2 linked regions of the Arabidopsis thaliana genome follow. The protein of the gene in region 2 interacts with the protein of the main gene of each other region in a pairwise test. Each region holds a gene or a part of one and is shown on either strand. Other genes may lie near its edges.

Region 1 (6,636 bases), on a different chromosome or scaffold from region 2:
GAACTCATCAGGCAGCAACTATGACGATCTTACACCACATAGATTCCCGTCAATGGAGAAACCGCAGTTTGATCATCAGAACTCATCAGTCAGCAGCTATGGCGATCTGCCAGAGCTCCAAAGGCCAGAGACTTCACCACTTGACAGACTCAGCCCTGACCAGGACCATCAGCAAATGAGACTGCCTTCAATGGAAGATGATCCCTATTACTCATACCCTAATCTCTTCACATCGCAGAAGCATGATCCCTCATCTGGCTCTCATTCGTTCTCAGACAATACAAGACCCGCCCATGATTCGTGATTCTTACCTGCATATGTTATAATGCAAGCTTGGTGTTTTTCAGTGTGTTTCACTTGTGCTGTTCCTTCTCTTGCGGAACAAAGAGCTCAAAATGTTTTTTGGAATAGCCTTTTCTTCCTCTTTATCCAGTGGAAGACATATGTAATGTATAGAACTTGGTGTTTGTGATTATGTTTAATTTAAAGGCCTTGGTTTTCACAAGAAATGAATGAAGAATGCTGATAGATGGAATAAGATTTGATTAGAGACTACATTATTTTTCTACCAAAGAAATAAAGAATACAGAGAAGTGATTCTCTTAATATTTCTCTGTTCTTTCTCTTTTCTGTTAGGCAAATTACAATGTCGTTTATCTTGGACCAGACAACTCCATAGCATGAAGATTATCAGTCGAATCAAGGATCCAGTCAGAGGTGGGGTGAGAAGAGAGCTCCACTTCTTGCCTGAGAACTTCCACTTTCTGCCACTCGTCCCATTTCTCCGCTAAACCGTCACCTTCAAGCATTCGAACAACCTCAGACATCTTAGGTCGTTCCATAGGTGAGCTCTGTGTGCAGAGAAGAGCCACTTGTATGAGCTGTTCTACTTCTGCTTCTGTGTAATTGCTTTGCAGGTCAGGATCCACAAGCATCTCCAGCTTCTTCTCCTTCAAAAGCCCTTTCACCTGAGAAGACCAAATGAACAGATAAATCAGCTTTTTGAGAGATAGCCAGATATGTGCTAAAAGATCTGTGTTATACCCAATCTAGGAGCATAACGTCATCGTCATTCGCCAGTCTTGCAAGATCAAAAGCTCTCTGACCTGTAATCAGTTCCAAAAGCATGATCCCGTAGCCAAAAACATCAGTTTTCTCTGAAGATTTTCCAGTTGAGAGATACTCAGGAGCAATGTGTCCAATAGTCCCACGCACAGCCGTTGTGACATGAGTATCTTTATAGTCCATAAGTCTAGCTAACCCGAAATCACCTACCACCGCCTCAAATTCCTCGTCCAACAGAATATTAGCAGCTTTCACATCACGGTGAATAATTTTGGGGTCGCAATGATCATGAAGATAAGACAAACCCCTCGCTGATCCTAGCGCGATTTGCTGTCTTATTGACCAGGCTAGAGGCAACTGTGATGGTGGACGTTCTGTAATCATTTCAAGAAAGCTCACTCAATTGTATTGGAAAGTTTTAAAAATGGATAAGATCAAAAACAACACTTATACATCATTGTGGGAGTCTTTCTACTTTATGATACAAACAGTTAAAATTCCAAGGTTACCTCTCAAACAGGAAGCGACACTTCCATTAGCCATGTAAGGATAAACAAGCAATCTCTCGGTAGGGGTCATACAGAAACCGCGTAGCCTGAGGAGATTTCTGTGAACGGCCATGCTTATCATCTCCACTTCTGTCTGAAACTGGAGCTCGCCACCTGGGGTTCGCTCTTCTTTAAGCCGTTTGACTGCAACAAGTGTTCCATCAGCAAGACGGCCTTTGTAGACTTTTCCGAACCCACCTCGGCCCAAAATGTTCTTGTTGCTGAAGCTATCAGTTGCTACTTGAAGTTCCCGTAGAGAGAACCGCTTAAGCTGCCCCAAGTGAACCTCAGGGTCCTCTTCGGCTGCATCACAGAACTGAAAAATTAAGTACTAAATACTAATCCAATTCTGAAATGAAACAAAGCTTGGATATTGCAGACTCAGTGACTTACCAGGAACATCAAAGAAGAATTCTTGAGGTTTTCTTCTACGCCACCAAGCAAAAGCTAAAGCAGGGGCAGCAAATAGTAAAGCAGCACCAGCAGCAACTCCTCCCGCAATGGCTCCAGTAGCACTATACCCACCTTAAATTTTATTTTTACCAAAATAGTTAACTACCAGTGAAGTTGATCACAAGCTTCTTAAACTGTGAGATAGACTTTTTTCCAGTCAAAATCCAGTAAAAAACTCTATAACAACCATCCAATATGTTTTTCCAAGCATGAGTGAAGGTAAAAGATCTAAATTTTACTGTCTGCTTCATTTCATTACCTGGTGTAGGAACTATGGGAGGTGGTATAAAAGGTGGTGGAGGAGAAAACGGGGGAGATCCAGGACAAGGACGGCTAGTAACTGGGCCGCATAGATCCAAGTTGTTAGCAAAACTGTGCAGAAGAACAATGGTCAACTGCTGATAATTTCCATATCCACCAATTAAAGTAATAGAATTTGGAAAATGTAGTATGTCTATTGAGTAAATTTACTTAAGAGTTAAGATGATCAAAAGAAACTTAGGTTCAGACTTTAAATTTTATTGCCACTTGTGCTTAATCTTAACTTATAGCCTCAGTTCCCATAATGCGAGTAACTAATGTTTGCATAGTATGGATTCAATCAAACCTGATGGGAGTGAAGAGCGAGAAGGAACCATTATCAGGAACAGATCCGGATAATCGGTTGTTCGACAGATCCCTGCAGTTTGCAAGATAATAAGGAAAACTCAGGTGATCCATTAAGAGTGAGAAGTTCAGAAGAGCAGAAAGTAAAATTGAAAAGTAATACTCACAAAACTTGAAGGGTCATGATATTAGTCAATGACATGGGAATTGGTCCGGTGAGACTGTTATTGTTGAGCCGACTATCCTTGCAACAAAAACTCAGACCACATTACCATCTTCCCATACCAGAGTTCAATCAAACAAGTTTATTCAGTGTTTTGAAAGACAAAGCCAATTTCTTTTACTTCTATTCAAATGTCCAACAAGTAATAACATTTAGCCAAAAGAGAATTTAATCCTCAGTAAATTTCTAATATAGCAAAACATTTAGCCAGTGCATGATGAGAAGAGCAGACTAAGTGTTCTTACAGAAAGCGAAGCTTGAATAGCTTTCCTAGAGAATCTGGAATTGGACCAGTGAAGCTGTTCAAGTAAAGATCCAAGCTCACTAAGTTTGTCAGATTCCCAAGATCGCTTGGAACCGGCCCGGTTATGTTATTACTATAAAGCTCCCTGCCATTAAGAGTATCACACCCTCAGAAGAAAATTAACAATGTACAATGACAAATGGGTATTGAATAAGTCCTAATAAAATGAAAAAACAAGATTCAGTGTAATCGCCATATTCGCCTATATCATGTATGAGAAACTACAAGTCTCTAGAAATAAAGTAGTTATGCTACACATAGTCAATGCCATCAACTTTTCGTTTATCTACAGAGTAACGATTCATCTTCCATTTAGATATCAAAGCAAAAACTTACAAGTACTGCAAGTTCTTGAGCTGACCTAGCTGAGGAACCAACTGACCAGACAAGTCTGCATTCCCAAGATCGCTGAAGAAGCAACAACAAACAGAGATTAAATAAGCTAAACAAAGAACATTGGTCAGGTCAGGTATAAGCAGAGAGACACTCACACTCTTATAACACTGTTCTCGTTGTTACACGTTACGTGAAACCAAGTACACGGATTAACAAGCGTAGGATCCCAGCTTTGCAAGACATTATTTGGATCAACTAGATTAGCTCTCAAACTGTGCAGTGCATCACCTGTTAATATACCAAACAAAAGCCTAAGCCTTTCGCAAAGAGGAAATACTTACCAAACAAATCAAACATGAAACAACCAAACAGTTTGCATTGAATACTTCTTCAGTTCCTCATTCTTAATGTGTTTGCTAGTGACATAAATACAGTTTCTTTTACATGTCGTTATCAGAGAAATAGCATTGAATCAAACAGTAAATCAATTGTGATTTTTCTAAAGGAGCCTAACCATAGATTATGAACAAAATTCTCTATAGAAATTGAAGCTTTCAAACAGAATCAGATTCTTAAAAAGTCCTTTTTGAAGAACAGAGACAGTGCCAGATGGAAATTTCAATTCTCATGTACCAACTAAAACAGGCAAAAGTAGTCACATAAATAATAAAGAAAGATAAGAGAAGAGTAACAAACCTTCCATGTTAGAAGAGGCAAGCCATAACGAATTAAACAGAAGAAGCAGTGAGATTAAGCAGACAAAACCAAAAGCTTCAAACTTTTTTCTCCCCATTTACCAAAAAAAAGCAAATTTCTCCTCCCAGATCCTCCAAGAGGGTAAAAAAAAAAAAACTTGAGAAATCAAACACAAACCATGATCTCTCCAAAGTTGAGAGCTTTGAGATAGAGATAGAGAAAGAGAGAGAGAAGTTTACACTTGATGATGATTTTACTCTCATTAATGACAACCGAGAAAAATGCCAAAGGGGAAACACAAGTGGTAACAGCTACAAACAGAGAAGTGAAAAAGGTGTGAGATTTTTCAAAACTTTGCGTTGCTTTTTCAGAGCAAAAAAGGTTTTTGGGACTTTCTTTCTCATTCTTAATGAATGAGTTTTTGTGTTCTGTGGTTATCTTTCAACAGCCGTCTCTCTCTCTCTCTCTCTAAAAGCCTACTCTACTCACTAGTCACTACAAAAGTGATGGGCTCAAGTTTAGTCTCTCTCTCTCTTAAATTCTTAATGGAGCGTGATTGGTACCAGTGGAGAGAGAGAGGAAGAGAGAAACAACAAAACGCTACCTTTGAAATCTTAAGTACAATCACATTTTTTTTGTTTTAAATCTTTTCTTTCTTTGTCAACTTGTAAATTATTATCACAATTCACAACTTATGGAAAAGAGAAAATTAGATACACAACTTTTGTTTACAAAAAAGGAATAGAAACTTTATTTACAATTTCTTGGCAAAACTCCATGTTTATAGACAAAAAAGTAATTTTTGTTTATTTGTTTTGGTAGCTCATTATTTAATTTAATTTGCTTCTTTTAATTTTTAATCGAATAACTTACAAAAAAAATTCATACTGTGTTATTGTTCTTTACGGATATATATTATAACTAGATTTTAACCCGCAGTATACTGCGGAGACAAATTATTTTTTAAAATTAATATATATAAAAGTTTGCAAATTATATCTATCTATAAAACATTTTTATTTTATAGTTTACAATTGTTATTAAGTAAAGTTCTTCCAAACCCGTCTTGCCAAACCCGTTCCGTAAAAAAACCTGTAGTACACCGCTAATTTAAATAAATATTTTACGGGATTGCAATTGTATTTTAGTTTGTCAAACAAATTTTTGTTTTAAATAGTTGCCGAAATCTAGTTCAAATTTTGGAGAAATAAGATTTAGTGAATTGTAAAAAATGTATTTAGGTGCGTTTTGCTCATTTTAAGGGATTGCAATTGTATTTTAGTTTGTCAAACATTTTTTGTTTTAAATAGTTGCCAAAATCTAGTTTAAATTTTGGAGAAATCTGCGTGATATATAGGATTGAAATATATTTCGAATGTTTTTCGTTTGTTAATCAATTTATTACCAAAAAAAAAAACCCAATAATTAAAAGCCAATGGCAACCAATGTAAATAAGTATACATAAATGGCTGCAAAAATGTATATGTAGATAAGTTTTCAAAATTGTTAACTCACGTGAACACAACACATACCAATATTTGTCGAACAAATATTGACATGTGTGTTTTTTCTTCTTTAAAAATTCAAAAAACTAAAAAAAAACATAGTTACAAATACTAATTTATAATTCTACATCAAAATAATTTGAACTTTTATTTTTGGTCAATTATGTACTCATTCTCTGGATTCTTGTAAATAAACGTATAATCTAAACTTCTGAATCATAAACCATAGGAAAAAGGAAAACAAAAACAAAATTAATCCAAGGTGGCTGCTATATAAGAAAGGTGCAGAGATTGTGAATTCAACAAAACAGTAGCTAGTATTGTCGATGAACTTATATTGTCTTATGAGCAGAGATTTTTGTTTGGACACCTGAAGATGTCACATCGGAGAAAGAAGTCACATAATGCCAAAGTTTACCAGCCATAGTCACTACCTCTGCTATTAAAGCTGGAGGTATAGATTTACAAGCAAACCCCGGTGCCACATTAAACACAGCAAAACTCGTGAGTGACACTGCACCAAGTCTTTGAAGCTCTATGCAGTATATATCCCTAGAATTTCTTGGTGATGGATGAAATGTATTGATGAAATGCTTGCAGCCATGCGCCAAGGAGATCTTTAATTGACCTCTCCACCAACGGACGCCGAGAAGATATCATACATAAACCCCTAATTACTACATCTACTAAAAGCATCGACACAAACAAATCTGATCTAACTTCTGAGCTCTTTCTCACCGGCCGGAGAGAAACACCGGTTCAAGGTTATTATCAATCGACTCTTTCACAGCATCAACAAGCAACTGCGTATTCCGGCTAAACCTCATCCAAAACCCATCCGGTTTAGCTCCTCTGTTTTTGATTTCTCCAACCAACCGAGCAAATTCCATAACCATACAC
Region 2 (3,583 bases):
AGTAAAGAAGAAAAATAAAAAGAAAGTGAGAAATTGTCAAAGAGTTTATGGTTCATGTTTAGTTGAGACTATCGGTGTAAGGTGGTAGTTCTCCGTATGGGAGAATTCACATGGTTCAACTTCAAGTCAAGTTTAACACTAGACCAGTATACCTAACTGTCCAAAAATATTAATCACCGATTTATTTCATCAAATTATTATAAAGTTATATTTTTAGTATAGACAAATATATGAGGAATTTTCATGAAATACCCCTTTTGAATCTTAGATGTACCAATTTTCGAAAAATACTATTATTCAAAAAGACTACTACTCTACCGGAATATTTTTAGTAAATTTGCCATATTTTTCAGGTTTCTTTATTTTTAGGATAGATGAAAAATGAAGTTTTGTCTTCAACACCTATTAATTTATTTGTAAGATAGTTTAGCGAAAACAAAACAACTTTGATAAATAAACATGTAAATTTTATTAAGGGGAAATTGGAAATAAAAGATAAATATTTAAAAAAATTTCCATCTATACATTTTATGATCAAGATTGGTGACATATGCGTTTAATATAATTTAAATCCCACTATATCTCCAGCTTTTTTATGCTTACAAAATACAAAACAAAAAGTCCAAACCAATTTATTTTTACTTGGAGCAAATCAATATTCTTTTACTTGGAGTCGTCGTTCATCACTTCTTCGATATTGTCTTCCTCTATTCTTCACAAAAATTAAGCTGTTCACTCCTCTCAAATAACTCCAAAACAAAACTCTTTTTTTTTCAATTTATCTTTCTTTATTTCCCTCGCTTCAATTTCTCTTAGAATCTTACCATCTCTTTCTTTAAATATTTATCCTTTGTTTCCAATTTTCCCATTTATTAAAGACTCGTAAACAACCCTAAGAGGATATATAACTTACGATTAAAGAAATCAATTAGAAACAAGTCTTCATTGATGAACCTCTCCATCAAGCCGTGCCTAATAGGCTGGGGGGAAAATAGCCAAACACCAGTCACAAACACAAACCCCACCGTAAGCAGTCTCGACACTGCCGGATTCACCGGCCACCGCTGCACCAACTTCGTCTTCCTCTTCAGTGCCACTTCAGCCGCCATGCAAAACCCATGTAACACAAAGAACCAAGTCACCTCCCATGTAGGCTTCTCACGTGTCAAATAGAAGTAGAGAATCTCGTGAGCCACACCAGAGACGAGGAACGTGGCGAAAATCGCGAAGAACCGATCCCACTCGGAGCTCTTGGCTCGCCATTGCCGTATGGGGTTGTACACTGCGAGCCAGAGAATCTTCGAGACCATGAGGTTCCATCGGTGACCCCAGAAGTCATGTAGAGAGGTGGCTAAGTATGGTTCGTTGAATTGTGGCTCGAGGTCACACCCAAGAGTGATACTGACGAGAAATTTTATCAAGGTTAAGGAAATCTCAAGCTCCAAGTATATATGCAGAGCATAGAGACCCAATAGAAAATTCGTAGATAGAAATTGTTTGTAATGATACGCTTGTAGTAACAAGGCACCAAAGATGAAAACTTTCAGGGCAAAAACCCATTTGGGGAAATGGTTAGTATTTTCAGGGTTAGGTTTTTTTTGAAGCTTGATGGGGAAGCAAGCAAAGCAGACGAAATGAGGGAGATTAGGAGGAAGTGGAAAAAGAGGACCTTTTTCTAATGCAAAGAGGATGAGTTTTGGAACTGCAAGACCTGAGAGGAAAAATGCAATAGTGAAAGAGGAATGAACAGTGGAGAAAAAGATAGGAATAATAAGAAACAAAACACAAACAGGAAGAACAGATAGTAATCGAAGAAGACTGGTTTTGATTTTGGGTGTTAAGTAGTAACAATAAGTTACTGAAATGATTGCAGAAACCCATACTTGGATGAATAACTTGAGTTCTTCCTCCATGGTTACTGGTTAAGTGATAATAAACCAAGAAACATAGGAAAAATGTTTACAGTTGTAGTATATAAGCGTGGGAGCAATTAATAAAGACAGTATGTTTGTTACACATTTAAGGGAAAAAACTATTGGCAGTTGTTGAGTAGTTAATGGCTCTGGAAAATCTATCAAATTAAGTACTTTCCTCTTTTATGATATAGTAATATAGTACTAGTAGTGTATGTAAAAATAAAAAAAAATAAGTATGACTACCGTTTATAGTTTTTCTTTTCAACGTCTTAAATATTGAATTTTTTTATGAAAAAGTTAGCAGAGCAGAGCATAATTAACACTCGTAAAAAACAGTGAAATAAAACTAAGGTTGTCGTTTCTCCTTAATGCGATTATGAAGCCATGCGGGACCTCCCGTTCTAAGTACGAGTTGAAACGCACCCATCTCTCGTAACACAACTACACAAGCAATATCAATATATCATAAAAATTCGTTTTCGCCTGGAACTAAAGAATTTGAATGATTCAAAACCTGCAATAAGTTGACGAATTCTACCGATGAGGGAGCAATGAAGCTTCTATTTCTTAAATAATTTGACAGCAGAGTAAACATTTTGACCTATGCTTGACGTTATATGGGAAATCCATATAGTTTTTTTCTTCCTCTCGCTAACGCTCTTTGGCGATCTTTCCTCCCAACTATGTTGTATTTAGATAATCTCTCTACAAAGGGTTCACGTGAACATGACACAAACAGTAGTCGAGGGAACAAAAATTGATCGATCGATAGGAAGTGTTGGTTTGGTTCCAAGTAACACTATTATTTCATTCTTTAGTTCCAAGTAAAAACAAATCGTCATGTACAACGAACTTGGAACTGAAGCAAGTCAGTTTTTTTAGGGTTTGATAAGAAAGAAAGAAACGGCATGAAGAGACCAAGAGACATGCTGGCAGCATCTTAAAGAGTTTCTACTAATTCCAACTTGCCGACATCTTCAACAAGACAAGTTCGATTCATTTCAAGATAAGTAGTTGACCATTATGGACTTTGATGCTCAACCGGACTCAATAACGTTAACTCGTGCTCATTTAACACTCGTTATAAAATATCCCCAACAACGTAAATAAAATAACTTATCGCTTAATGAACTCAACGAGCAACACAGCTTCAGATGTGAATCTCTCCATCACCCCGCTCCTTTTAAGCTGAGGTGTAAACAACCAACCACCAGTCACAAACACAAACCCCACCGTGAGAACCCGCGACACCCCCGGACTCAACCGCCACCGCTGTGCTACCGTCGTTTTCTTCTTCACCGCCAATTCTACAGCAGTACAAACGCCATGTAACACAAAGAACAGAGTAACTTCTCCTGTAGGCATCTCACGTATCAAATAGAAGAAGAGCAATTCGTGAACCAAACCGGAGACGATAAACGCTGCCAAAATCCCCGGAAACAGAGCCCAACCGGAACTCATTTTGCGTTCAGAGACTCGCCGCATTGGTGCGTAAACGGCTGGCCGGAGAATCGCCGGAACCATGAGATTCCACCGGCGACCCCAGAAGTCTTGTAGAGATGTGGCTAAGTACGGTTTATTGGACTGTGGCTCAAGATCGCAGCCAAGAGAGATAAAAACAACAACTTTAACAAACGTTAATATAATCTCAATCTCTAAGTAGAGAT

What was found.
Region 1: the proteins of AT5G55330 (region 2) and SERK2 interact in a protein complementation assay, tested with the Arabidopsis thaliana proteins (one large-scale study listed by BioGRID).

Annotation. Positions count from the first base shown.
Region 1 is NC_003070.9:12,456,770-12,463,405, reverse strand, and holds SERK2 (somatic embryogenesis receptor-like kinase 2), read right to left. Parts: upstream 4,843-6,636; 5' UTR 4,329-4,842; coding exon 4,232-4,328; intron 3,824-4,231; coding exon 3,691-3,823; intron 3,608-3,690; coding exon 3,536-3,607; intron 3,285-3,535; coding exon 3,141-3,284; intron 2,912-3,140; coding exon 2,840-2,911; intron 2,746-2,839; coding exon 2,674-2,745; intron 2,439-2,673; coding exon 2,326-2,438; intron 2,139-2,325; coding exon 2,007-2,138; intron 1,917-2,006; coding exon 1,575-1,916; intron 1,440-1,574; coding exon 1,045-1,439; intron 969-1,044; coding exon 654-968; 3' UTR 501-653; downstream 1-500. Other genes in the region: AT1G34220 (Regulator of Vps4 activity in the MVB pathway protein), read left to right, coding at 1-304; AT1G34200 (Glyceraldehyde-3-phosphate dehydrogenase-like family protein), read right to left, coding at 6,471-6,636. UniProt on the Arabidopsis thaliana protein: Serine/threonine-kinase involved in brassinosteroid-dependent and -independent signaling pathways. Acts redundantly with SERK1 as a control point for sporophytic development controlling male gametophyte production. Serves as coreceptor to small peptide (e.g.
Region 2 is NC_003076.8:22,436,953-22,440,535, forward strand, and holds AT5G55330 (MBOAT (membrane bound O-acyl transferase) family protein), read right to left. Parts: upstream 1,933-3,583; 5' UTR 1,914-1,932; coding exon 873-1,913; 3' UTR 519-872; downstream 1-518. Other genes in the region: AT5G55340 (MBOAT (membrane bound O-acyl transferase) family protein), read right to left, coding at 3,033-3,583. UniProt on the Arabidopsis thaliana protein: Catalyzes the final step in the synthesis of long-chain linear esters (waxes).